Arabidopsis thaliana: one gene and its partners. The protein of the gene in region 1 interacts with the protein of each later gene in a pairwise test. Each region holds a gene or a part of one and is shown on either strand. Other genes may lie near its edges. The genes, in order: HOS1, HDA9, FLK and HDA05.

Evidence for each region.
Region 2: the proteins of HOS1 (region 1) and HDA9 interact in a two-hybrid assay, tested with the Arabidopsis thaliana proteins (one study listed by BioGRID).
Region 3: the proteins of HOS1 (region 1) and FLK interact in a two-hybrid assay, tested with the Arabidopsis thaliana proteins (one study listed by BioGRID).
Region 4: the proteins of HOS1 (region 1) and HDA05 interact in a two-hybrid assay, tested with the Arabidopsis thaliana proteins (one study listed by BioGRID).

What each region holds. Positions count from the first base shown.
Region 1 is NC_003071.7:16,610,786-16,618,641, forward strand, and holds HOS1 (ubiquitin-protein ligase), read left to right. Parts: upstream 1-1,991; 5' UTR 1,992-2,155; coding exon 2,156-2,245; intron 2,246-2,381; coding exon 2,382-2,772; intron 2,773-3,057; coding exon 3,058-3,192; intron 3,193-3,282; coding exon 3,283-3,458; intron 3,459-3,946; coding exon 3,947-4,348; intron 4,349-4,466; coding exon 4,467-4,625; intron 4,626-4,729; coding exon 4,730-5,221; intron 5,222-5,639; coding exon 5,640-5,777; intron 5,778-5,991; coding exon 5,992-6,629; intron 6,630-6,854; coding exon 6,855-7,017; 3' UTR 7,018-7,337; downstream 7,338-7,856. Other genes in the region: AT2G39805 (Integral membrane Yip1 family protein), read right to left, coding at 1-117, 448-616, 804-884, 984-1,041, 1,515-1,568; eIF6B (Translation initiation factor IF6), read left to right, coding at 7,674-7,683, 7,779-7,856. UniProt on the Arabidopsis thaliana protein: E3 ubiquitin-protein ligase that mediates ubiquitination and subsequent proteasomal degradation of the transcription factor ICE1. Acts as a negative regulator of cold signaling pathways.
Region 2 is NC_003074.8:16,226,009-16,231,709, reverse strand, and holds HDA9 (histone deacetylase 9), read left to right. Parts: upstream 1-1,700; 5' UTR 1,701-1,957; coding exon 1,958-1,994; intron 1,995-2,637; coding exon 2,638-2,750; intron 2,751-2,871; coding exon 2,872-2,989; intron 2,990-3,062; coding exon 3,063-3,137; intron 3,138-3,211; coding exon 3,212-3,431; intron 3,432-3,517; coding exon 3,518-3,581; intron 3,582-3,670; coding exon 3,671-3,763; intron 3,764-3,846; coding exon 3,847-3,955; intron 3,956-4,062; coding exon 4,063-4,112; intron 4,113-4,206; coding exon 4,207-4,297; intron 4,298-4,374; coding exon 4,375-4,445; intron 4,446-4,539; coding exon 4,540-4,638; intron 4,639-4,717; coding exon 4,718-4,784; intron 4,785-4,867; coding exon 4,868-4,941; 3' UTR 4,942-5,191; downstream 5,192-5,701. Other genes in the region: AT3G44690 (uncharacterized protein), read left to right, coding at 1-1,025. UniProt on the Arabidopsis thaliana protein: Responsible for the deacetylation of lysine residues on the N-terminal part of the core histones (H2A, H2B, H3 and H4).
Region 3 is NC_003074.8:1,250,030-1,256,613, forward strand, and holds FLK (RNA-binding KH domain-containing protein), read right to left. Parts: upstream 4,956-6,584; 5' UTR 4,740-4,955; exon of another isoform or gene 4,254-4,739; 5' UTR 4,244-4,253; coding exon 3,545-4,243; intron 2,375-3,544; coding exon 2,128-2,374; intron 1,841-2,127; coding exon 1,692-1,840; intron 1,609-1,691; coding exon 1,336-1,608; intron 1,219-1,335; coding exon 1,021-1,218; intron 901-1,020; coding exon 733-900; 3' UTR 524-732; downstream 1-523. Other genes in the region: DAN1 (Alba DNA/RNA-binding protein), read right to left, coding at 5,631-5,777, 5,855-5,919, 6,012-6,074, 6,169-6,217, 6,540-6,584.
Region 4 is NC_003076.8:24,566,278-24,572,763, reverse strand, and holds HDA05 (histone deacetylase 5), read left to right. Parts: upstream 1-1,772; 5' UTR 1,773-1,846; coding exon 1,847-2,049; intron 2,050-2,545; coding exon 2,546-2,747; intron 2,748-2,857; coding exon 2,858-3,004; intron 3,005-3,103; coding exon 3,104-3,216; intron 3,217-3,350; coding exon 3,351-3,562; intron 3,563-3,638; coding exon 3,639-3,715; intron 3,716-3,868; coding exon 3,869-4,039; intron 4,040-4,164; coding exon 4,165-4,248; intron 4,249-4,464; coding exon 4,465-4,698; intron 4,699-4,787; coding exon 4,788-4,981; intron 4,982-5,085; coding exon 5,086-5,212; intron 5,213-5,296; coding exon 5,297-5,361; intron 5,362-5,461; coding exon 5,462-5,627; 3' UTR 5,628-5,981; downstream 5,982-6,486. Other genes in the region: HDA18 (histone deacetylase of the RPD3/HDA1 superfamily 18), read left to right, coding at 1-41, 120-184, 316-486, 631-1,467; AT5G61050 (histone deacetylase-related / HD-like protein), read left to right, coding at 6,149-6,352, 6,437-6,486. UniProt on the Arabidopsis thaliana protein: Responsible for the deacetylation of lysine residues on the N-terminal part of the core histones (H2A, H2B, H3 and H4).

The DNA of each region.
Region 1 (7,856 bases):
ACATCAAAGATCCAAGGAGCATTACTGTCGGTTCGTTTCTTCACGAGATATGTAGCACAATTTCCGAGAGAAGCAAGCACAAACACAAGCGTAGTGCAGATCCAGACAAGTCCATACCTAACAGAAGCACACACGAGTCATTAATCAAGAATAATTTGTGAAAGGCCTAGCTTTTAGCCAATCTTTAGAGGATAACATATTATGATGCTTTCTGTTCATTTGTCCAAGAGAAAATGAGGATATTTTAATCAATCGCCTGAAGTAACATAGGAGTAAATGAATAGCAAGATCATGCTTTCGGAAAGGTGCAGAAGATAACACTTAGAACGGTAACAAATTAACGGCATGACTGAGCAATGGACCGATTAAAGAAATTCGAAAGAACTCTCTCATGGTAAGTACAATCACCAAGAAGAGTGAAGGAGAAAAAGGCATTAAAAGACTTACAAATCAGGGTTTGCATCAATCTTGTTGAAAAAATCTCCACTAGTAGGATATAAAGAGCTCATTAATCTGTTCAAAACAACGTCCGTGTCCACGTCGAAGTATTGGGTATATGAGTAGACATTAAAAAAGCCCTTCCAGTTGTTTGATGGCTGTTGTGCTGGTCCTTCTACTGGAGCAGATAAGATATATCACCATATAAGACAGAACAAGGTGAAAACAAAGGTATATAGGATCTTGACATCCATAAGAAAAACGAGGTTGACTCACACAAGTATTCTTTCAACCATTGTACTGATTCATGGTGACTACAGATAAAAATATCTCCTAAAAAAGGAATCTAAAAGGAGCATATATACCTGTTGGGCTCTCAAGAGTTTGATAACCCTTTGTATTGTTTCCTAGATTCGGTGGAAATATTTGCATGCTTGCAGAAGGGCCTGCAATAATGCAGAAGACATACAACACTCAATGTCTTTCACTACCGGAAAAGTTCTTTGCAAAAGATAATTCAAGCAGAAACTAGCAAAAGAACACACCTTCATTGACGCTTGCTATTGGTACATTTGTGCTTCTCTTGTCGTCGCTGATCACAGCCTAAGAATACAGATGTTTGTATCAGACATAATAACACGGGGATAGTCAATCCATTCACTCAAAACATTTATCTTAGCGGATTCAATCCAAAATGAAGCTATCATGCAAGCATTTAAACTCAAATACAGTTTTGTTTTTCATACGAATTGTCTCCTAAAATGGTGAAAAAACTTAAATAAAACGCCTTAACAAATATAGAAACCCAGAAATGCAAATAAGGAAATCGTCCATTGTTCTATGAGTGTGAAGACTTTAGGCATCATCGTGGACGCGAAAAAATATGACAAAAAAATCTGAAAAGTTTCAAAATTCTACTTCCTAATGTAACACTTGAGACAGAACAACAAACAAAATGATGGCATGAACAAAAAACGTTAATTTTCCCTTCACACAAACAAGGATCATAGAAAAACTCAATCAAAGAGCTTATTGATGGTGAAATGAAAGAAGCAATAGATGTAATATAGACTTACCGGAACTGAACCAAGCAAATGGCTTGATTGTAGATTAGCGAACGACTCATCCATCGATCAAAGAGAAAAAGATATCAAAGAAAAACTTAGAAGATAGGTTCTTCTAATCTCATTCAAAAATCGATAAGATCGGAAAAAAGGTCGTCCCTTTTTCTGAATTTTTAAGGTTTCTGGGTTTGCTTCTCCTCCTCCGTCGTCGTGGAAGCAATTGGGAAAGGAAGAGAAACTAAAGAAAGAACGATCCACGCGCTTTCTTAGCAAGTCGGTAAAACACGCGCTGTTCACTTTCGGACACGTGATTTGCCGACTTGGGCCCAGACAATCACAAGATTCACACAAGACTTCAAAAACAAAGGCCCATATTTAAATTTTGACCCGAATCGTGATTTGCCGACTTGGGCCCAGACAATCACAAGATTCACACAAGACTTCAAAAAGAAAGGCCCATATTTAAAATTTGACCCGAATTAAACAATCCGACTTGACCCGTTTGAGGAGAAATTCACTCAACAGTGTTTCCTCTCTTCGTCTTCCCTCCCGAGAAAGCTCAACGGAGCCCTAGACTGGTTTTATCACTCTCGCCAACACCAACCACGCTTTTTCTCTCTTTACCTCCATTTTTGTATTCGTCACCGGAGTAGATGGATACGAGAGAAATCAACGGTTTTGCCTCCGCCGCGAGATCGATATCTCTTCCTACGCAGCCTAATTACAGTAGCAAGCCTGTTCAGGTTCTTCCGCTTTATACCTTTTTATTTCTCCACTGAATTAGTTTAGCTCAGGTCTTAGGATTTCTAGGTTCAGCTTAAAAAAATGGGTTTTGCAGAGCTTAGAGTTAATTTCGAATTTATTGTTTGTAACTTACAGGAGGCGTTGAAACATTTGGCATCTATAAACCTCAGAGAATTATGTAATGAGGCAAAAGTTGAGCGATGTCGTGCAACAAGAGACTTAGCTAGCTGTGGAAGATTTGTGAACTATGTGTTGAATCCATGTGGTCATGCCTCCTTGTGCACAGAGTGTTGTCAGAGGTGTGATGTTTGTCCTATCTGTAGAAGTACGCTACCAAAATTTGGAGATAGACTTAGGCTTCGTCTCTATTATGAGTGTGTTGAAGCTGGTTTGATTTCCCGAACACATGAAGAGGCGTCACAGGATTCGGATGAGGATGAACATCAATTGGCAGCTGATGTTCATCGCCTTTATTCTCTGTTTGATGTTGCTATGAACAATAATTTGATCTCGGTGGTTTGCCATTGTATCCTTCAGTTGCATTTATGCTTGGTGTCTGATATATGCATTTAGTCTTTTAGTTTCCTGTTTGATACTTTCATGAATTTCTTTTAGATTCGTATGCTTGTGCTATTAGGAACTGTGTTTATATGGGGAGTTTTGTACTGATAGGTTCATGTATTTTTAGGTAGTTCTTGTTTCATGCTTGTCTCTGTTGGGCGAAATGTGCATAGTGTTTTTGTCATTCATTCTCTAAGAGGTATTTTATGTTGGATGCATAGTTGACATCTCCTTGACAGAAAATTAATAGATATCACCAATGTCTGTATGGATGAGACAGCTGTATCTAGTGATCCGGTCATTGCTTTCTTGCTGGATGAAGTTGTTGTCAAGGATTGGGTCAAGCGTACATTCCGGAGCACCTTAGCTGAACTTCAAGAAATCTGTATCCTTTTAGCTGTTAATATTTTTATGTTTCTTAAGACTGTATATTTGTGCACCGTAAGGTCTGTCTATCTTTAATATTGGCCCTCAGATAATCTTGAAACAAAAGAGATGCAAGCGTGGTTAGATAAACTCCTAAGGTGTTCCAAACAGGTGGCTGGCATATGTAGTGTGCTCGAAGTTATGGAATCAGCTTTTAAGGGTTCTGTGTCACCTCAGCTTCAAGATGTGCAGACGCTGAGAGAGAACATTGGTAAAACAAAGCAGGTCAGCCATGATTTCATTTCATTGATATCCAAACAGTTTTGCAAAAGTATGCTTAAATAACTCTCTTTATCCCCCTTAGAAATATCCGTTGTACATTGAAGTTTCCTACGTGCATTAATGTTTAGTTTGCCTCTGTCATAGAATGAGTTACTTGTTTTGTATACGGCTTGCAGTAAAGTTTGTACTGTAAAAGCTTTGCATTTAGATGTATGAAAGGCACGATAATGGTCTTCCATCATCAGCTTGGATCTGATTTTCTATCCCTAGCTTTGTGACTTTATTCTTCTTTTCTTTTTTAATGTCATTGCATATTAGTGAATGTAGATGGGGTATATGTAACCTATCTTTATATGACATACTGAATAGTAAATGAGTATAACCTTATGGCTTCTGACCAGAGAGTGTTTTAAATAGATCAGCTCTTTAGCTATTGGTGCAAGATCACTGAGCTTACGTGTGCTTACCCTATTCTTTTTATTTTATTTCAGCATTTGGACATAATGGTCTGGTGCATCAGACATGGATTTCTGGATGATGTGAGGTCTCGATATTCGAATTTCACATCGTGGAATGCACTGGTAGGGGAAAGAAAATCAAATGCAGTTAAGCGTGCATGGCCTGATGCTGTAGACCAGTCTTCAGATTGCAGTGTACAGAGTGCTTCCCTCTTTATTGAGGATGCTTTAGAAAATCTTGAGAGAGAGCCAGAATACAGTCAGGAAATAGGTGCCGACCTAGAAGTTGGACGTTTACAGAAGGATAAGAGATCATTTCTTAGGTCCAAAATAGAGGGAACTTCAGGATCTTATCCATTTGAGAATCTTAGAACTGCTGCTGACATGCTCTTTTTACATGGCGGTTCAGATTTGGTTGTTGCGAAGCAAGCAATTGTATCCTTTTGTCATCGCCTAGTTTCACATTACATTGCACTTTACTTTTAATGAATACTTGAATCAGGAAACATTCCCATGTTTTTCCTTTACGCTGGTTTCCTTAACCAGAAGATAGTTTCTTTACTACCTGTTTGATCGGCATTGGACTACCCCTGAAAAATATTGGAAGCACACTATAGATGATTTTGCTGCTACGTTTGGCATAACGAGGCATTCATTGCTGGAGTCTTTTGTATTTTATCTTCTCGATGATCACTCAGAGGAGGCACTCCAGGTATCTTTTGGCATTCCCAAGGAAAACTTATAGAAACGTGTATTTTATTGTGCCATACATTTATTAATTGGTGTAGCTTACAAACTTTCCAAATTATATTTCAGGAAGCTTGTAGGATTCTACCTGAAATATGCGGTCCAGAAACCTACCCCAAAGTTGCGCAAGTCCTGTTAGAAAGGGATAACCCTGAAACAGCTCTTATGGTCTTGCGTTGGTCTGGTCGTGATGGTGTATCAGAATTGGTTTCAATTGGTGAAGCTGTCACAGCTCTTCGTGTGAGAGTGGAATGTGGTCTTTTGAGTGAAGCATTCACATACCAAAGGACACTCTGCTTGAAAGTAAAGGAAAATAATTTGAAAAATGGAGCTGTGAAACATGCGTCTGATGATCTAGACATCTGGAGTTGGACGGAATGGATGGAGATACTTGTCAATGAATTCTGCTGTCTTTCTATTCGGAGAAACTTGGTTGATCGAATCATTGAGTTACCGTGGAACCCAGATGAGGAGAAATATCTGCACAGATGCTTATTAGATTCGGCAACTGATGACCCCTCATCAGCTGTGGGTAGTCTCTTGGTTGTCTTTTATCTTCAGGTAAGTAATTATATTTTCAAACTTTAAATAACTTCACTTGAACAATGGGCTGAGAATTGTTTTTCAGAACGAGAATAGCTTTAGCAACAGGCAAATAGATATTTAGACAGCAGCTTAAACCTCCCGAGCTTTAAGCTACATATTGAAAATTTTAATAAGGGATCTCAATGATGGCTCTGTATAGAATTAGCTCATTCTATAGAGACTGGTATATGTTCTCGTATTTGATGTGTGGCTTCAACAATCTTTTATAATTCGAGCTTGGTGTAGTCTGGGATGTTGGTTAACAAGCATGAAATTATTTGAACAACCAGGGAAACTGCATCACTATAGACCATGCTTATTTTCTGGAAAGTTATTATCTTTTGTATATGGTCTTTCTTTGACTAGAAATTACTGGTTGTTCACATTGCTGCAGCGCTACCGTTACATCCAGGCATACCAAGTCGATCTTAGGCTTCAGAAAATCGAAGAGGCTTTCGTATCCGACAATCAAATTGGGGAAGAAGTTATGTTCAGAATGCGATCACAGAGTCATTGGAGAAAAGAGTTAGTTGTAAGTATTTCAGCCAACTTTCCATGTACAAGTGGATCCTTCCATAGTTCCTTGTTAAAGGCTACATCCTCACATTTGCGTTTTAGTGCTTAATAACCTGTTGATGCTTGCAGGATTGTCTAGTATTCTGAAACTTGAATGTACAATATTACTTGATACTGGCTTTTTTTAACTGGACATTTAAACCTCCCGTGTCTCTGCTCCTTTGAAACAGGATAGAGCCATAGATATACTTCCAGTAATTCAGCAGCAGCAAGTTAGATCTGGACAATTTTCTGAGATGGAAGATGCCTCTGAAGGAGCAAAAAAATCTGATCTTCCTGATGCACCTGACATGATTACTTCTTCAGTTCCCTTTGCCACTACTAATTCCGTTTTTCTCCAAAGTGCTAACAATGCCAGAGCTAGAGAGCCAGTGGCTAATAATGGCAGTCCTTTTCAACCTGGTCATATGATAGGAAACGCGTCCCATGATCTTTCACATGGAAGGTTATTTACAAACGCAAATAGAGGACAAAAGAGTGAAGTTAGAAGCGTAACCAAGAATCTGAAATTCGGTGAAATGTCAACTCCGTTCAAAGATCTAAATAGAGCTCGTGGGAACAGCCAGCTCCAAGGGAAAAGGACTGAAGAATCCTCTCCAGAAGTAAATGTTGATAGATACATAGAGAATAATATGAGCTCTCCTTATCTCCGCCGAATCACAGCTAACAATCCCGTGACAGTGAAATCTAGCAGCAACCATCTCAATGGATCTTCACAGAAACCGGAATCCACCTTTTTTGGCACAAGGATGCAACCAGACAAAGATAACTTTGTTGATTTGGATGATCCAATGGACATGTCTTCGAGGTATTCCTCTCTTCTTTATCTCTTAGCCATTTGTTCCTTTCTGAATCGTGCCATTAAAGTAGAGGACACTGGTATTGTTTGGTATAAAACTATTGTTACCGTTTGGTTTGAAAATAAAGTCCAGTTTGGTTTCAGTCTAAGGAACTTTGTTTGGTTCTTATGTCCACGGCTTTTAGTCTTATATTGGATGAGCTACATATCAATTGTGTGTATTATGAATTGCAGCTTAAAGGACAACAACAACAATGTCTTGGCCACGGAGAGCAGAAATAACAGTGGTGGATTGAGATGGCGGTCAGATGAAACAAGCGATGACGAAGATGAACTGACTAGTTTTGGTTCCATGCCGGTGAAGGGAAGGAGGAGACGTAGATTCGCAGCAAGATGAAATGAAACAAACACTCGAAAAGACCATCATCAATTATGTTTAAAGCATAGAGAAAGAGAGAGAGAGGTAGAGCAAGTTGTGTAAAGAGGGGAGAGAGACTGTTACAGTGAGCGTTGTTCTCCTGTTATTTTTTGTGCTGAATTTTGTGTATTTCTTCTCTAGTCTACCTTTTTTGGACAGTTATTTTAAAGATATCATTGTGATGAGCGGAGTGATATTATTATTATGAGTATGTTTAATTTCTTATATTGGTGCAGCTGATTGTTGAATCGTAGAAGTTATAACAACACATTGAGATTAAATCATTTTCTTTTTACATTCACAATTTCCTCTCAAAATTTTAATTTTTAACTTTTTTATTATTTACCAAAACTAATAAATGGAAATAAGTAGCATAAGCTTGTTCCAAGTTTCTGATATATAAATAGGGTTTTCGGAAGAGAGAATAGGGTCTCTTCCTATCGTTCCGTCACTTTTTGTTCCGATTTGTCGACAAGGTAAACCTTAAAACTAAATCTTTCAATATAGCATAACCAATGATCCGAAAACCTAAATCTTTCATTCTCTGTTTCTGCCTTGGATCTGTATTGAAATTCATAATCTCATATTAGGTTTTCGTGTTACTTAATTCCGCAGGTGTTTGTTGGATCCATATCATGGCGACTCGTGAGTTTCCCTTAAGCTTTAGCTTTTTATACGATGCTTTCTTTTCAAGTTGCTTACAGGATTGTTCTTTTTTTTTCTGTTCTTGTTTTTGGCAGGTCTTCAATATGATAACAATAATTGCGAAATTGGTGTCTTTTCCAAACTCACAAATGCTTATTGTCTCGTTTCCGCAA
Region 2 (5,701 bases), on another chromosome or scaffold:
ATAAAAGGGGGGATGCATATCTGCATTACGAAAGCCAACAACTTAAGAAAGATCATGACTATGGCATTGATGACAGGATATATCGTGATGTCAACTCGTCAGATATTATAGTAGACCATGGAGATGCCAAGGCGCTAGAGCTTAGGAGAGTAGCCTTCATTGATAGAAATGAAGCGTATTTGGATAATGAAAGCAAGGATGTTTATCAGCATTACAATAAACAACAACTGAAGTACTACGACTCTGGCATTGATGAGAGGATGTATCCTGCTGTCACCAAAGCAGAGATTGTGGACCGAGGAGGTGCTAGAGCTCTAGAGCGTAAAGGAATGTCCTCGAATGACGGAAGGGAAGCCTATTTGCCCTATGAAAGCCAGCAACTCCTAAGAGATCATGAAATTGATTCGTATGGGGTGATGCATCCTGATGTCAGTAGATCATCAGCTGGCAAGCAAGATGAGGAAGCTCTTCGAGGCAGGAGATATCTTTTTGATGACCGAGATCAAGTCTACTTGGATGATGAGCGTTTGCAACGACGTAATGGTGGTGATGTTAAAGTTTATGCCAATATGAGATATCAAGATGGTAGACAAGAGGTTTATCATTCGAATGATTCAATTTTGCGTACAAGAGATGATTATGGTCTTAGAGACAACGCAAGTGAGGTTATGCATGAGAATATGCCTTATGATTACAACTACAGGGATGCTAAGCAATCAAGAATGTCTTATGAGAAGGCAGATAGTAAAAGGTTCCGTGAACATGAAGTAGCATATGATTACAGAGACAAGCTAGGGAACTATGCAGTGGATGGAGGAATAAGCAGAGAACAATTCCGATACTCAGCTGATGAAAGGAATTCTGGTAATGTTGATCACACATCAACTCGACGCCGTCGATTATCTGCAAAGGAGCGGTTAGGTGGGCGTGTTGAAGAAGATTCACGTGTTCATGTGAAACATAGACTGCATCAGGTTAGAAACCCAAACCTAAAAGGTAAGTCCCATAAGAGGTACCTCTCCTGAGGTCATCATTTCTCTCAACATTGTTGATTCCTCCAAACAAGATTGAGAGAGAAAAGCTCCTAGGTTTTCAAAGGATGGGTGTGAAAACGAAGGATCCTAAAGTTGTAATCTCGGCTCTTTTTTGGTCTGAAAAAGGTTAGAAACAGATTCAAGGATTGAAGTTTTTTGGCAATGGAGGATATTATCTTGGTTAGTAGATATGCTTTCTTTTGGCGTTGAACTTGACTTTAAAATGTTGAGATTTTTGTCTGTCTTTTAGATTGTTTGGTCGGTGGTTTGTATCGACCTATCAATCAAGTAGACAGTGGTTACGAGACGTTGGTCTTTTTTGGTCTCTGGTAGTGACATTGACATCGGAGATCAACAAGTAAATAACTCAACAAGTTTATATAATCTAACAACTTCTTACTATTATAATCTCGAAATTGGTTTTCTTTCTCATTTTGATTGTGATCATTCCTTGGTCGAATTTGATTCAGTTTACATGTTTTGAAATTGAAGATGTATACTAAACCAGACAAGAGAAAGAAGAAGATATAACTAAATCGATTGATTTATATACACAGTATCAAATTCAATTTCGATTCGGTTCAAATGATGGAAAGCTACCGGTCTGGTATTATAAAACCATGAGTCAAAACCGCTTTTTATCAAATACACTTTAAATGACGTCATCTGTCATGTCATCAGAACACTAAAACGACATCGTTTCACTTTTGACTCTCCCCTTGTTCTTCTCTTCTCTCTTCTTCTTTTCGCTTCGTTGCTGCTCTCTTCTCGGCTCCGCCGGAGAATCGTGAAATCTCTGCGACTTCATCAATGAAGAAATCGTCTCATCTCTCTACTGAATCTAAGCAGACCTGAAATATCTCTGTATAATCTTTCTTTAAGATTGATTTCGTACGATCTTCGTGTCTTTTCTTCTTTAAGAGATGCGTTCCAAGGACAAAATCTCTTACTTTTATGATGGTATATTCATTTCTTTCCCTTTTCTTCTTTATTTATGGTAAAGAAACTCCAAAATCCTTGAGATTGATGTAACTCTTGAGCAAGTTTTATCCACTTGAACCGCACTAGTTTTTGTCTTTATTGCTCAATCGATGCATCGAAAGGTGAAATCTTTCATATCTATAGTCTAGAATAAGTAAAGGGTTACGATTAGTTTGGAAATACTCCAGAATTGAGTAGGGTTTTTGATGAAAAGAACAAGGGTTTTAGGTGAAGTTTCTGATTTTTTCGATTCTTTGGCCTGAGTTTAAGCTTAAGATAGAAGCCTTCTTGTGGTGAAGACGACTCTAGTACCTGTGAAGTTGACTTCTTTGATTGGTTTGGTCAAGTCTTTGTTATTTCTTTGCTAAAATATGAAACCCTAGAACTTTTGTTAAATTTGGCATTGCATATAATGTTTGAAATTGTGTTCTTTCGAGATTCCTCTCTGAGAAACTTTTATAGACTTGATAGTTATATAACTTTCATTTTCGTACTTCAGATTTTCTGCATGATTCAAACTCTGATGCGAGTTTCAGATTATATTCTTGTTGATGATTGGAGCCTTTGAGGCAGTTTATATGAGATTGTGATGTTATGCTGAATGTTTTTTTTTGGGTTGCAGGGGATGTGGGGAGTGTCTATTTTGGTCCGAATCACCCGATGAAACCTCACAGGCTTTGTATGACCCATCATCTTATCCTTGCATATGGCCTGCATAGCAAGATGGAAGTTTATGTTAGTGTCTCTTGCTCATCATATATGTTTCTTGTTTTTGTTCTTGATCCTTTTATTCTTTTTGTTTATGATATCACGGTACATCTCGATTGAAATCTGTATATGTTCTCTATTGTTTCAGCGTCCACACAAAGCATATCCTATCGAGATGGCTCAGTTCCATTCTCCTGACTATGTAGAGTTCCTGCAACGAATTAATCCAGAAAACCAGAACTTGTTCCCCAATGAAATGGCTAGATGTAAGTTTTGTGTCTTCATTAATTTGTTTTTGTAATCTACATGTTAAGCTGAAATTAAGTTACTGTGTTGCAGATAATCTGGGAGAGGATTGTCCTGTCTTTGAAGATTTGTTTGAATTTTGTCAACTTTACGCCGGCGGAACCATAGGTAAATATACACAGTTGGTATTCATGTTTGCTTGTCACTTTAGAGAAACGACTGACCGAGAATTTTGTCTATAGATGCTGCACGCAGGTTAAACAACAAACTCTGTGACATTGCTATAAATTGGGCGGGCGGGTTGCACCATGCCAAAAAATGTGATGCATCTGGGTTTTGCTACATCAACGATCTCGTGCTAGGAATTCTTGAGTTGTTAAAACACCATCCCCGTGTTCTATACATAGATATAGATGTTCATCATGGTGATGGGGTTGAAGAAGCGTTTTACTTCACTGACAGGTACAGTTACAAATCCATAACACTACTTCTCGAAAGCTGTTACTATAGAAACTGATTGCCAATATCTTTAAATTTTGTGGTGGTAGAGTAATGACTGTTAGCTTTCATAAGTTTGGGGATAAGTTCTTTCCAGGGACAGGCGATGTTAAGGTAATATTCAGAATTCATTTTCCTGATTTGTGAGGACGGTTTCAATGTGTTTGGTTGAATTGTCATTGTGATGTTTTTTCTTTAAAAAGGAAATAGGAGAAAGAGAAGGGAAATTTTACGCCATTAATGTGCCGCTGAAGGATGGTATCGATGACAGTAGTTTCAACCGTCTTTTCAGGACTGTAAGTTCTTTAACTAAAAACAATGAAAAATTCTCGATGCGTTCACCGTTTATTTGTGTTTCATCATTTCCTTTGATCTCTAGATAATATCCAAGGTTGTTGAGATATATCAACCGGGTGCAATTGTTCTTCAATGCGGGGCAGATTCACTAGCCAGGGATCGACTAGGATGCTTTAATCTCTCTATTGATGGTGCTTTTTCTTCTTGTAATCAAAATCTCTTTCTCTCTTTCAATCTCCCGTTTGCTAATTTCTTTGCGAATCGGGTTTTGAAATGGCTTTCTCTATGCATTTCACAGGACATGCTGAATGTGTTAAATTCGTGAAGAAGTTCAATCTTCCCTTACTGGTATCTAATCTCTCAACTTATATATATGTATGACGCGTTTCTGTAATCTTAAGTTCATTGATGACGAAGTCAGTTCTTTCTGATTGTTTATTAGGTTACAGGAGGTGGAGGATACACAAAGGAGAATGTAGCTCGTTGTTGGACCGTTGAGACTGGCATTCTTTTGGACACAGAACTTCCTAATGGTTAGGTTTTCAATATTTGTTAGAGAAAGTTTAATGTTTGCGGTCTTTGGGGGCTCAGGGGTTAGTTGTTTCTGCAGAGATTCCTGAAAACGACTACATAAAGTATTTTGCGCCGGATTTTTCTTTGAAGATACCGGGTGGTCACATTGTAAGGAGCTCTTATGTAACTTATAGTTCCTCATTGCTTTAACAAAATCTAAAGAGAGATTGAGAATCATTTTGTGTGTTTGAAATGAAAACAGGAGAATCTTAATACCAAATCGTACATCAGTTCCATCAAAGTGCAGATTTTGGAGAATTTGCGATACATTCAACACGCTCCAAGCGTACAAATGCAGGAGGTAAACTCAGATCATCATAGGACAAATTGATGCTTTTATCAATCTAACACTGATCAGTTTTTTTACTTGAATCTCTTAGGTTCCACCGGATTTCTACATACCGGATTTTGATGAAGACGAACAAAACCCGGATGTACGTGCGGATCGTAAGTATCGATAACCACCTTCAAGGCTCTACTTTAGTCCCTTTGTTTTCTTAGTGACTAATGTTCTATATGGAATGTTTCAGAGCGTTCACGGGATAAGCAGATCCAGAGGGATGATGAATATTTCGATGGAGACAACGATAACGATGCGTCATAAAACATCGATTCTTAGAAATTGTTGGTTAATTTTTTTGTTTAGTTATGAGATTTGTAATGATATCAACACTTTAACGGCTACTGGGGCACCAAAACCACTTCTGATTGATTCCATCTTCTTCATGTTTTCGTCTTGGTGTATATGAATGAAGCTTTTTGGTTCACTTTCTCATCATTGTGACTTATATAGTGATCAAATTCGTTATATATTGTACAGTACAATTTGCACTTGATCAAATTCAATTTTATTTTTAGGCAGCCTTGTTAGTAAAAAACACTAAAGATTAATAGAAAAAATAGATTTAAAAACGCTAGTGAGAAATACACAGAGAATTATTAAGACTAAACAGAAATACATTTGAAAAGCAAAATTCAGTGATAATTAACAAAATCTGAGAAAGAACAGAAAAAAAAGATCAAGGATTTGATTTTTCTTGATCAAAATTTGCATCAGAGTCATGGAAGTTTTTGATTGCCAACACTGCTCAATTGAGCTTCTTTTATCAATGGTGATTTAACTCATCATTTGCAATCAGATGGATGTATATGTATATATATAAATCGAGCAACTTAAGACTCGATGTTAAATAAAAAAACATTAGAAAGAATATACAACGAAAACACAAATGAATAAAGAAACAGAGAAAATAAAAACTCATTAGAAAGAATGTAAAACGAAAACATAAATGAATAAAGAAACAGAGAAAATGATAAGCAATGGGGAGACTGAAAATAATTGTTTTCCTGGTGCAGAGGTATTT
Region 3 (6,584 bases), on another chromosome or scaffold:
TAATGTTAGTAGTACTTCATTGTATTCACAGATCTGATTTGTGTGGACTTCTCTGACAGAAACAAAACCGCAGACTCCAGTGAGTTATCGGAAAAGAAGCAAAAACCGCAGGGGTAAACTCTGCTCAGTGTAGTATAAAATTCGATCTTTCTTGATCAATTGCTAGATTTCAGGCAACTACCTAGAGAACAACATTACATTGCCTGTTTGTTGAATCCTTTCCTTCCTTATTTTATATGCTCAGCTCGAGCAGTTAAGCAGCAACGCTTTTTCTTTTTATTCCTGAGATCACATTTAATTTCCCATTTGGAATGTATTTTATTTAGGTTTGAAATTCACAAAGTATTATGTGATTATACTTTTTTTAACTTATATTTTGATTCATATAACAATTCCCACACAGAAATTCATTCAAGCACCAAATTATGAAACAATGATTTACCATAGACTAATAATCTCTCTTAAAAAGGGATGAGAAAATCGTGAAGGACACGATAATGAACCATACATTTTTTTTTTTTTTACTTTTTTTGAATATAAAGAAGATTTCCGGTTAGATCAATGTTATGAATAGTACACAAATGAAGAAGTCTCAAAACAAGTGATATAATAATTGATTGTCAGTACACAGAGTGCTCGCTAATAACAACATATACTCGATTAGGCATCTAGCGTTTCCACTCTTGCTTGCAACTACTAGTAAAACATTCTAAAGAAACTTAAAATCTTTCATCAGTAACCGTAGCCTGAGCTGTAATCCGTAGCGTATCCTCCAGGCGGGTTTGTTGGAGCCGCTGCGTAAACTGAGCCGTGTGTTGCGTATGGGTTATAGCCTTGCTGCTCTGGTGCTACAGTTTGAGGCTGTGCTGGTGCCGGCGCTCCAGCTTCAGCCATGAAGTTCTGTCATAAAACACAATCAACAGTCAGATTTCATCATAAAAAAACACTAGCTTCTGCCTCGGTTTTGAGGGTTTAAAGGTTACAATGGTTAAGAAATCTGGTGTGAGAATATAGGGGTACCTGAATAAGCTGCACGGCAGTTTGGACTTGTGAGCCAGTTCCGCTAACCTCAACAGTCATTTCACCAGGTACTCCCCTGGTCTCCTGAATAGTTACTGTTGCTCCACTAAGACGTCTAGTGTAGCTTATGTTTGAACCCGACGTCCCAATTACAGCATCAGCATAAGACAGTGGAATCTGCATTTGCTGCGTAACTTGCTGCAAAACAAACAAATCCCCACACCACTCAGATTTTCATTGATTTACTTTACATACATAAATTGCAGTAGATTGAACAGTCAACTTCATAACATGTTGCAGAGATTGGCGGAATACCTGAGCGACCATTGGTGGGGCTGATGATACGTGCACATTCATAGGAGGCTCTCTACCATATGCAGATATACCTTGATGAGGCTGTTTCTCCATTGGAGGTTGACGCATCTCAGGAGGAGGATAGTAACTATCATGTCTAGGAGGTGGTTGCATATATGGAGGTGGGTTGTGACCATAGCCTCCTCCACCAACACTTGGGGCATGACCTTGAGGAGGACCCCATGACTGGTGTGGTGGTGGCATATGGTCCATTTGGCGAGTTGGCTTTTGCATCTGTTTAAAACGCAGAGTAAAGAAAAACGTTAATAGAGACAAATGAGAAACATTTTTAAACATACAACGGAACAAAAGATAACCTGATTTTCAAAGAATGGGATGATGCTACGATCAACCAAGAACTTTCTGAGATGTGACGCAATCAGCTCCAAGGCTCTATGAACACTTGTTGGTTCCCCCACAACTTCAACAACCCTATCGTCTTGAAGAGCAAAAACAGGTAAATCCTCTGCAAAACTCCACCATAACAAATTTCAGTTAGAACTACCAATGGATAAGGAATAAACGAAACAAACACCAAAACAAAGTTGAAGTTATTTCAGAATCTAAGCCAATCTGAACATTTGATGTTGAATGGTTCAGCAAATCTTGCAGATGAAGATAACATAGAAACTTATAGTGGCCTTTATCTCTACAAATATGGGGAAAATAGGGAATAGTCCATAGCACAACTGAAACCAAAAACACAAAGCAAGAAAGAATTTTTTCAGCATGTAAATTGTGAAGAGAAGGAACCTGATCCAAGAACTCTGACTATACAAGCGGATGCTTCTTGAATAGCTTTAACTGTTCCTCCCTGTTTTCCAATCAAACTTCCAGCCTGAGATGCTGGGACTAGTAATCTTGTTGACACCTTTGAAGGCGGAGGGGCTTGAGAAGCTTCACCATCCAAACCATCAACTATCCGCATGTGGACTCTAAGAAGGCCATCCATAGAAGGTGGTAGAGATGATTCGGGCTCTTCTTTACCAGAAACCATAACCTGCGACAAAGAGGAAACAAGTAGAGAACATTACCAAATGACTAAAGCATTTCACAAACAGCGATCTTAGGATCTATACCAATTATTATTTTGGTGCCATATTTCTCAAATCATAAAGAAAATTCCAAAGAGGTACAGACTTAAATGCACTTTGACCAGTTAGATGTTTATTTCCTGTTATAATCTTCATTTAAAGTTTTTACCCATGGTGATTAGGTTATCGCCTTTTAAGATGCCATAGCAGCCATTACCAACCTTCTAGACTTAAAAAACCTCTTCATAGAATCTTTTTCATGCAAACATAAAATTTCTCTTTACTTAATTGTTGCCTAAACCATAATCTCATCGTCCACATATTGTTACATCCGGTTAAGCAGGTCCTTGCATGCTACAGAAAGTCTGCAGCAAGACATCAATCATCCAGGTACTGAAGTTACCAGAAAGAATGCAGAGCTTCATGGAACTGAGGTTTATACAAGAAGAATCTTGCCTATTCGATAAACTTATCAGCACTGTGTATGTAGTGCTCAAGGCTGAATCCTTGCCATCTGGCTTTGGTTCTTCATATTTGAGACCTTACCGATGATTGTTGCCATAAAACTTGCAAGATAAAACCTGCACAGATTCATGGTGGTCACAGCAATAAAGGGGAACCCTACTCACATCTTATCAACTTCGCCGATTAACTTCCTCCTTTCACTTGAAGGAAATGATAAGCAGGCCTGCTGGTTACTATATTCCATATAGGTATAATTACTAACTAAGATGGTTTCGCTTGATGCACTATACATTCGTCAACACGTTTTTTAGCAGCTCAGGATCATATCACTCAGCCCCATTAAAACACTTTTTCTGACAAAGTTCATAACTTTTTTGAGTTAAAAGGGATGTTCAGTTTCCTCCTATCCGTTTACTTATATATTTATTAACGTCAAGGGGAGAATATGAAAAGGGTTGCCTCTTAACTAAAATTTCATGGCTTTTTAACATTTTTAACAAAAGCTAGTGCCTGAAAACTTTAGATCAGTGACTTATACAGCCAAAAAGTGTATGTATTCTACTATATTAGTTTTCTTATCACTAGGATTTTAGTTTTAGTTCAAGAGCATTATATGACTACTAGCTGCAACTCATATAACATGAAAGGGAAAAAAGGATTTAGAGACTCACAGCTCTTTCTGTTGTGCCTGGAGGACCATCGAGAATCTTTATTCGAGCCCTTGTCTCCTCAACTATTTTCTTAATGACATCACCTTTGCGACCAATGATGCTACCCACTTTCTGTGCAGGAACCAGCATACGGAATACCGTCTCTCCGGGCCATCCCGGCCACCTCTTCTCCTCACCTCCAACTGTCGCATCTTCTTCAGGCTCTGATTTCTGTAGAGACTCAAGATGCTCAGGAATTCCTTCCTCATCTTCTACTTTATCTTGCACTTCATCACCATTGTGATCTTGTACATCACCTTGCGCCTGATACTGAGCCTGATCATGAGCCTCGTCTTGTAACTGAAACTGCTCCTGATTTTGTGGCTGATATTGTAGGTCATCTTGCGAATGATCTTGGACATCTTCATTAGCCTGGTCCTGCAACTGGTATTGATGATACTCTAACTGATCATCAACCTCGTACTGCTGAGGTTCAAGAGTCTGATCTGGTACCTCGTACTGCTGTGGTTCAAGAGTCGGATCTGGTACCTCGTACTGCTGAGGTTCAAGAATCGGATCTTCAACCTCGTATGGTTGGTGAACAAGGGTCTCATCATGAACCTGGTACGGTAACCCATTATGCAACTCATCTGACCCTTGATCTGGTACCTGATCTCCATTGTGTGCAACGAAATTTTGCTGATCTTCAGCTTCAGCCATGACTAGAGCGCTGACATAAATTCAGAGTCCAGATAACACACATTAGTCCCGTTATACATATACAAACAGTTAAAGTTTCATTGAAGATTTCACTTCCTTCAACAAGTTATTGTTATAAAGCATGTGTTAGAAAGAAATATAACGCCTAGAATTAAAACATTTGCATCTATAAAGTAACAGCTTCGCCAATAATATGCTCAAAATTCAAAATCTAACAAATTATTCTAGGTCACCTAATAGCTGCTTCATATAAGAGGTATCAACTTAGCCTAAGCTTATTCTGCAGAAAATAGCATCTATAAACTAGAGGCAGTTAGTAAAGAAAAATATAAGCTTAATGAAACACGAAAATATCGTTTTCGGACTAGTGAAAACCCTAAATTAACACAGCGAACATATAGACCCCAGCGAGGAACCCTAGAATTGACAATGAAAAAGAAAGAACTATAGCCCCAAAAGCTTAAACTTAGGATTAAAGATAACCCAGTGAAATTACGTGGTATCAGTGGAAACTTTAACAATATTAGAGTGATAAACGGAAACTTGATTCGAAGAAGTTCGGCGGAGAAAGAGAGAGATTCCGGTAACAATGGAGGCGGGTGAAAATTATCTTAAAGTTGAGATCGACAACTAGTGAACTTTTCTTTTATTAACACTTTAGTCCTTCTAATTTTAACAGCTTCTAGTTTTGTCAAATTGAGCTAGCCCGTATATTTATAATCCAAAGTCACATTCGTATGGGCCGTGATCTGCTTTAAGGCCTATCATAACTTTTTTTTTTAACATCTATTTTATTGATTTGGAAGTGGGATAGGTCATTGAACAAACATTTTTTTCTTATTAATTTATTTATTATTAGTTCAATTTATACCTGTTTTAATTTTCTTTTAACTTTGCTTTTTTTTAGGCTAACATTATACTATTCTCATTAGACTTTACTATGTAAGCTTAGTTATTTCACAGAAATTGCATTGATTTTGCAGATAGTGGACACCTTATAGAAGATTTTGATATTATAGAGTCGTCAAATAATAACTACAAAAATTTGGTGCTAAGGTTGCAACATTGTTTTGGTCTTCAGTTATTTAGCACAAATGGGAGTGCTTTCCACGAAACAAATTTTAATTTGAAAACTTCTTTTCTTTATTTTTGCCTTAAGGACAAAGACTAAAAAAGTTGAGAAAAATCAGAGAAAAATATTTATATCAATATTGTTCAAGATCCTAAATGGAAGCAGAGAGTGAAGAATACTATTTGTTGCTAAACAAACAATTACTATCATATCTAGAGTATTATGTTCGATATGTCACAAACGAAACAAAAGCCAACAAAACATAGTAAAAGAGAAATCAGTCCTTCTGCAGTAAATCTCTCAACCGGCTCCAACCTAGACCTCGGTGGCAGCGGCAACTTCTTCTTGTGCTTCCACGGAAGCTTCCGTCTCTGCACTGGCTTCCTCCTCCGGAGTCTTGCCGTTGGTCACAGGTGGCACCAAAGAGTCAAACTTGTCTGACTTGCCCAACACTATCTCAATCTGCAACAATAACAAACCCAAAAGGAGATAAATAAAACTTCAAAAGGGTATAAGGAAGTAGTAAAAAAGAAACTCGCCTTTGCCTTCTGGACCATCTTCCCTTTTGTCTCATCTTTCATTCCCACAGTCGATGTTAGCACCTCTGTAATTCAACACAGACCAGAGATGAAACAGTTTCTTCAATAGAACGAAAGGTTCAAAGATTGATGGTAAGAAGGGAGAGATCTGACTCACTCTTCTCTGTTGCAAGTCCATTGTTCTTCAAGATCTCAGAGATTGTTACCACAGTTGTGATTGCTATACACACATTAATGATTATATACATATACACGCAAAAGATGAGAAACCGATCAAATAAAAAAGATAAAGGTAAAAGAAAGAGTCTATATACCCATTCCAAGTGCAGAAAGCTCGACCTCGTTGTGTTGCTGAATGTACCTCTGCATCAAACAACGAAAAGATCCAATTACTCTCTAAGTAATACAATCAAACACTTGGTGGACACAAAGTATCAAATAGATAAAGATCGATCCTGAATCAATACTACAAGTATCCAAAAACAGATCGGAAACAAAATCCAGGCGAATACTGATTGTTCGTTTCAAGATACTAAAACGATGTTTCGTTAACTGAATCTACAATCTTAAAATCAAGCGAATCTCGAACTCTAGTAAACAGAATCAGTCAAAATTGAGAAAAAGGAAGACTCGTTGATCTGAAAAACCGTAGATCCGGTGATGAATTTAGGTTTCCGATCATTACCTTGGCGAGATTAACGTAGAAGAACAATGGCTTCTTGGTGTTGGA
Region 4 (6,486 bases), on another chromosome or scaffold:
CAAACCAGATATTATTTTGCTTTCAGCTGGATTTGATGCAGGTTTGTATGGTCTAACCATTTGTTTCAAGGCTTTGTGACGGTAAGCTGTGTGTAATCTTTTCAACTTCTTCTTAACAGCTATTGGTGATCCGCTTGGGGGTTGTTGTGTTACCCCATATGGATATTCAGTTATGTTGAAGAAGGTTGGTGTTGAAGTGAACTGCCTCTTTTCTCCATTGTTTCTATTATGCGTACCATGGCTTCTCTACCATTGAAAATAACAAAGCTACATAATTTTACTTGGATATGACATCATTTAATTGGTTTCTCTCAGCTGATGGAGTTTGCACATGGAAAGATAGTGCTGGCATTAGAGGGAGGATACAATCTTGAGTCATTGGGAAAGTCTTCACTCGCATGTGTCCAAGTTTTGCTTGAAGACAAACAAATTCATGGTTCATCTGAAACATACCCATTAGAATCTACACGGCGTGTCATACAAGCGGTATGGCTCTATATAACCCTAACAGTCTGAAATTTTGTATGAATTGGCTACGATTTCTCTTTTCAGCTCAGTTCTTGTGTCATAAATATTGTATATCGCCTATGTTACTAATTGACAAAGCTCATCTGTTTCTTGTGGGTTTAGGTACGCGAGAGACTATGCACATATTGGCCTTCACTTGACGCGTCAATGGCGTCTAATGAGAATTTAAAGAACCCAAGTGCAGAAAGAAACTCCGCTGACGCCCTCCTTCGTGAAGTGGAAGAGTTAAAGTCTCTAATGGCTGCCCGAGATGGAGAACTGGAGGCAAGGAGAAAAGAGTTAAAGGCCAAAAATAAGGAGCTAGAAGCGAACGAGAAGGAGCTAGAAGCGGGACTAATGTTGATTCGCGCTCGGGAGGATGTAATCTGTGGTCTTCATGCAAAAATAGAGAGTTTGCAGCAGGAGCGAGATGAGGCGGTAGCGAAAGCTGAACGCATAGATAAGGAACTCCAAGAGGATAGGGCAAGAAGCCAGGAGTTCAAAGAAGACACAGAGTTTTGCTTGAGTACGTTAAGGAGGGAGAAGGAGCTTGCCATCATGGCCAAAAATAAGGACCTAGAAGCGAAAGAGAAGGAGCTAGAAGCGCGGCTAATGTTGGTTCACGCTCGGGAGGATAAAATTCATGCCAAAATAGAGAGGTTGCAGCAGGAGCGAGATGAGGCCGTAGCAAAAGCTGAACGCATAGATAAGGAACTCCAAGAGGATAGGTCAAGAAGCCGAGTTGGGAATGGATCTTTTGCCTTTTCTCAGGAGTTCTATGAAGACATGGACTTAGACGAGCTCGAACCTCTGTCTCCGGAGTTCAATGAAGACATGGACTCGGAAGAGCTTGAACCGTTTCAGGTCATCAAGAAAAACATGGAGCGTTCCCACAAGAAGTTCATAAAAGATATGGAGTGTATCAAGTTTATCGCCAGTGAGAGAGCCAGGGTACTTTAGGTTGGGAGCTTGAGGCCGTAGCAGAAGACTACCACAAGTTTCGCGAGATGGTTGATAAGCTCGGGAAGAGCAACATATACCCTTCTTAGAAAGTACAATGGTGTTTCATTGTAACCACAGAACCTTTTTGTGATTGTAAACCAACTGTGTCGTGTCAGACTTTGATTGGTTGCGATACTTGGTTTCCCAATTTCCCTCCAAAGAATCTCCAAATTGGTCAAACTCTCAAACCTAAAAAAAAAAAAGGAGAGAATGAAAAAAAGAAAGAATTGAAAAGTAAAAAATACTTGGAAGCTTTAGAAGCTGAGAGCAAAGACTTGACCTTTTTCACTTCCTTCTCACTGATCGTCGAACAATAAGGCCGTCGCATCTCCCAGTTATGGCTATGGCCGGAGAATCTTCCGGCAAAAAAATTGGAGACTGTGACGGTAAAGTCGCGGGGAACAGACAGCGAAAGGTGGGTCTTATTTACGACGAGACGATGTGCAAACACGACACACCTGACGGCGAGGATCACCCTGAGTGTCCCGACCGCATCAGAGTTATCTGGGAGAAGCTTCAGCTCGCCGGAGTTTCTCAAAGGTTCATACTTTCTCTCTTCTTCGTGCGGCTTTGTTGTTTGTTTGATAATATAAGCCCTAGAAAATGCTCAAATTTAGTCAAATTGGGTACTTTCTGATCCTGTCAGCTGAGAAACTGGTCTCAATTTGTTCTTCCTTGTTCGGTATGAAATTTACTTTTCTCAATTTGAATTGTGCATTTCATAGAATCAAAAGGTTTGTATGCTGCTCAATTTTAACGGTAACCCTTCATAAATTTGCTACCTTTTCGTTATGTTCGGTCTTGTGTTCGAGTTATTTCCTCCATGTCTGTTTTATAACCCTCTCTGATATCAATTTTATATTTTTCATATTTGTTTGAATTTCACTCATAACATTATTAATTAGAGTAATGTGGCAGCACATTAGTTAGGGAAGGTGGAATCTAGTCTTTGAGGTGTGTATCCATCACGATTTGTTTTTCGATTCGGATGAATTGGCCTGCTATGTATTGACGATCTTGGTCTTTTCTTTTGCAGATGTGTGGTTCTTGGTAGTAGCAAAGCAGAAGATAAGCATCTCCAATTGGTTCACACAAAGGACCATGTTAATTTAGTTAAGAGTATTAGCACAAAACAGAAAGATTATCGGAGAAACAGGATTGCTTCACAGTTGAATTCGATTTATCTGAATGGAGGTTCATCTGAAGCCGCATATCTTGCAGCTGGTTCTGTTGTAAAGGTAATAATACTAGTTGATTTGTTTCTTTTTACAATAGGAGGATACATTAGAAACTGTTAGAATGATTTGATTGAATATGGGGTAACAACATTTTTCTTTCAACTTGACAGTTGGCAGAAAAAGTTGCAGAAGGAGAGTTAGATTGTGGTTTTGCTATTGTCAGGCCCCCAGGGCACCATGCTGAGGCAGATGAAGCCATGGGTTTTTGTTTATTCAACAATGTTGCCGTTGCTGCTAGTTTTTTACTAAACGAAAGAGTAAGGACTTGTACTGTTTGCTTTTAATTACTGTCAAATTCTTTGGTCACATTCCTTTGGAGTGCGTGTTCCCAACTTCTTTGCTTTTCCTGAATGCAGCCGGATCTAGGGGTCAAGAAAATTCTGATCGTTGATTGGGATGTCCATCACGGAAATGGTACCCAGAAGATGTTTTGGAAAGATCCTCGTGTACTATTTTTCTCTGTTCATAGGTATGTAATTGTGACCATTGTTTACTCTTCTTATGATGTCGCTTGTCATGATTTAAGGAGCCTACTTTTTACTCTATTACCCCTTTGCTTGATTTTTACGCTTGGAAAGTAACTGGAAATGCATTTTTGGTTAGGCATGAGTATGGGGGTTTCTATCCAGCGGGTGATGATGGCGATTATAACATGGTTGGGGAAGGTCCAGGTGAAGGGTTTAACATAAATGTTCCATGGGATCAAGGACGATGTGGAGATGCAGATTATCTTGCTGCATGGGACCATATCTTGATTCCTGTGGCGAGGGAATTTAACCCGGATGTTATTTTTCTTTCAGCTGGATTTGATGCAGGTAAACATGGTTTAAGCATTTTTTTAAGCTATGTCTTGTTCAGAGGTGTGTAACCTTTTCAAACTCCTCTTAACAGCTATTAATGATCCGCTAGGGGGTTGTTGTGTGACCCCATATGGATATTCAGTTATGTTGAAGAAGGTTGGTGTTGAAGTGAACTCCCTCTTTTGTCCATCATTTGTATTTGCGCTCCAGGGGTCTCCATCATTGAAAATAGCACTTCTTGCTTTAGCTGGTTGTTTGTCCCTGAGCTAAATAATAGAAACTTGCATTTAATATCATTCTGTTTCTCCAATGTTCTCTCAGCTGATGGAGTTTGCACAAGGAAAGATAGTGCTGGCGTTAGAGGGAGGGTACAATCTTGACTCAATTGCAAAGTCTTCACTTGCATGTGTCCAAGTTTTGCTTGAAGACAAACAAATTCAAGGACCTCCGGAAGCATACCCATTCGAGTCGACATGGCGTGTCATACAAGCGGTATGGCTCTATATCATCCTATCTTTTAACTTTCTTATTTCACAATCTGAAACAACCTTCCATAAATGGGCTGTAGTCCTCATGTTACTAGTTGACCAAAACTCATCTGTTTCTTGTGGGTTTAGGTGCGCAAGAGGCTATGCACATATTGGCCTTCACTTGCAGATGAATTATCGTGGAAGCTAATTAATCAGAAAACTCCTACTCCAGTTGAGCACCCTTCTTTTTGTCTACCATTTCAGTTGTTCATTGTTCATCAGAGAGCGTTTCCTTGCCAGATCGGATTTAGAAAAACCTCACTATTTTTAGCAACCACTTCTTAACTTCTTTGTCTCTATACAAATTTTCCTTTGCTTGATCTTCTTTTTAGGCGACAGACTCGGTATTTCTTATCACATAATTTCTTTCTTATTTGTTCACTATAGATCATCCTTATCTCAAGCTCCGACTCTGAAACTGAAGACAACGCCCAAGGACTCCTGGATCAAATGTCGAAACTCAGCATTGAAAACCCTCAAGGTACACTACTTGAAAACCACCAAGTAGAACCTGCATCTACATCTTGGAGAGCTGATCTCGCAAAGGTTGACGTTTGGTATGCCTCTTTTGGATCCAACATGTGGAAACCAAGGTTTCTTTGCTATATTCAAGGGGGACAGGTAAGTAACCTGTTTTGTTTTGTTTTCGGGGTCGAGTCTGGGCTTTGGTCTAACTTGACACATCTATGGCTGTTTGTGTTTATTTTTAGGTCGATGGATTGAAAAAGGTATGTGTTGGCTCAATGGATAAAAGTCCACCAAAGGAAACAGTGTGGGAAACATTTCCACATAGATTGTTCTTTGGCCGTGAATCTTCAGTTGGTTGGGGTGTAGGAGGAGTTGCTTTCACCAACCCCCTTGCTAATCTCATTGATCAAACTCACATGTGTTTGTACCGTATCACGTTAAGTGTACCACTCTTCATCGCAGTTTCCGTTCACTTTCCCTATTTTATTCATTTGGTGATCTTCTCTACTTATTCACTATGGATGTTATTTTTGTGAACAGGCTTGAGCAGTTCAATGACGTTCTGTCTCAAGAAAATGGTTTGAATGTGGATTCAGATTCTCCGGTCTTTGATCTAGCTGCTTTGCAGTTAGTAGATAACAAAGGATCCATTTTAGAAGCTCCTTTGGTTAGTCAGATAACAAATGTTGATTGATACGCTTATAAAACATGTAATAATCACACTTATACTCGTTTATTGACATTTTTACAGAATAGTTGGTATGGAAATGTTGTCTGCTTGGGAAAAGAACGCGACATTCCTATACTTACAATGACGTAAGTTTTCATCATTCTTTTTCTTTTGCTGCTCATAAACCGAGTTAAACAGCTTTCATTTTTTTTTTCCTGAGGTTTCTCAATAACTTTGTGTTTGCAGTTGCACGCTTTCCGCTGTTGAGAAATTCAAATCCGGTGAGATCCCTATAAGACCTCCTGCAAAAGCTTATGCCAACACTTTAATAAGGGGACTTGTGGAAGGAGGAAGATTATCTAAAGAAGAAGCTGAGGCTTACATAGACAAGGCTGTGTCTAAACCTCTCTAGTGTATAATTATTTACTCAGAAACCGCCCGTTTGAACACGATTTGGAGCTTCGGGTTTCTGAGTTATTCAATTAGGATAAAAACCACAAGTTTAGGAATATTGTGAGACCTTTGAATTTGTCTTTTGAAAGAGAGGACTGTGTCCTCTGTTAGCTGTGTTGTGCTTGCTCCCTAAGCAAACTCTCAATGTATTTTAGTTATCTTCGGGTTTTAGGCTTTACCAAGAAGCTGTATTCGGTAAATGTATTAAAGAACCCTCCAAACTGCTTTATATTGACCGGAGAGAAACATTCTTATTCTTCGGAATGGTACTTTGAAGTTTGAAGAGTTATTTTAAAAAAAGATTTAACAGCACTGTGAAGAGTTCTGGTCAAACAAACCTATTTAAAAAAAAGAGATTGGAAAACATGTATAAATAAAAATTGAAACGTAAAAATACTTTGAAGCTTCAGAAGCAAAGATTGGACCATTTCTCTTTTTTCTCCCTGCTCGTCGAACGATAGACTCTCTCATCTCCCGCATATGGCCATGGCCGACAAAAAATATGGAAACTGTGACGGTAAAGTCGCCGGGAAAAGCCAGCAAGGTACACTAGTTGAAAAGGAGCAAGTAGATACCGCTTCTACATCCTGGAGAATTGATCTCGCAAAGGTTGACGTTTGGTATGCCTCTTACGGATCCAACATGTGGAAACCGAGGTTTATTTGCTATATTCAAGGGGGACAAGTAAGTAGCCTTGTTTCGTTTCTTTTTGGAGTCTGAGCTTGTGTCTTAATTGACACATCTATGGCTGTTTGTGTTTATTTTCAGGCCGAGGGAATGATAAAAGCATGTGTCGGTTCAATGGACAAAAGTCCACC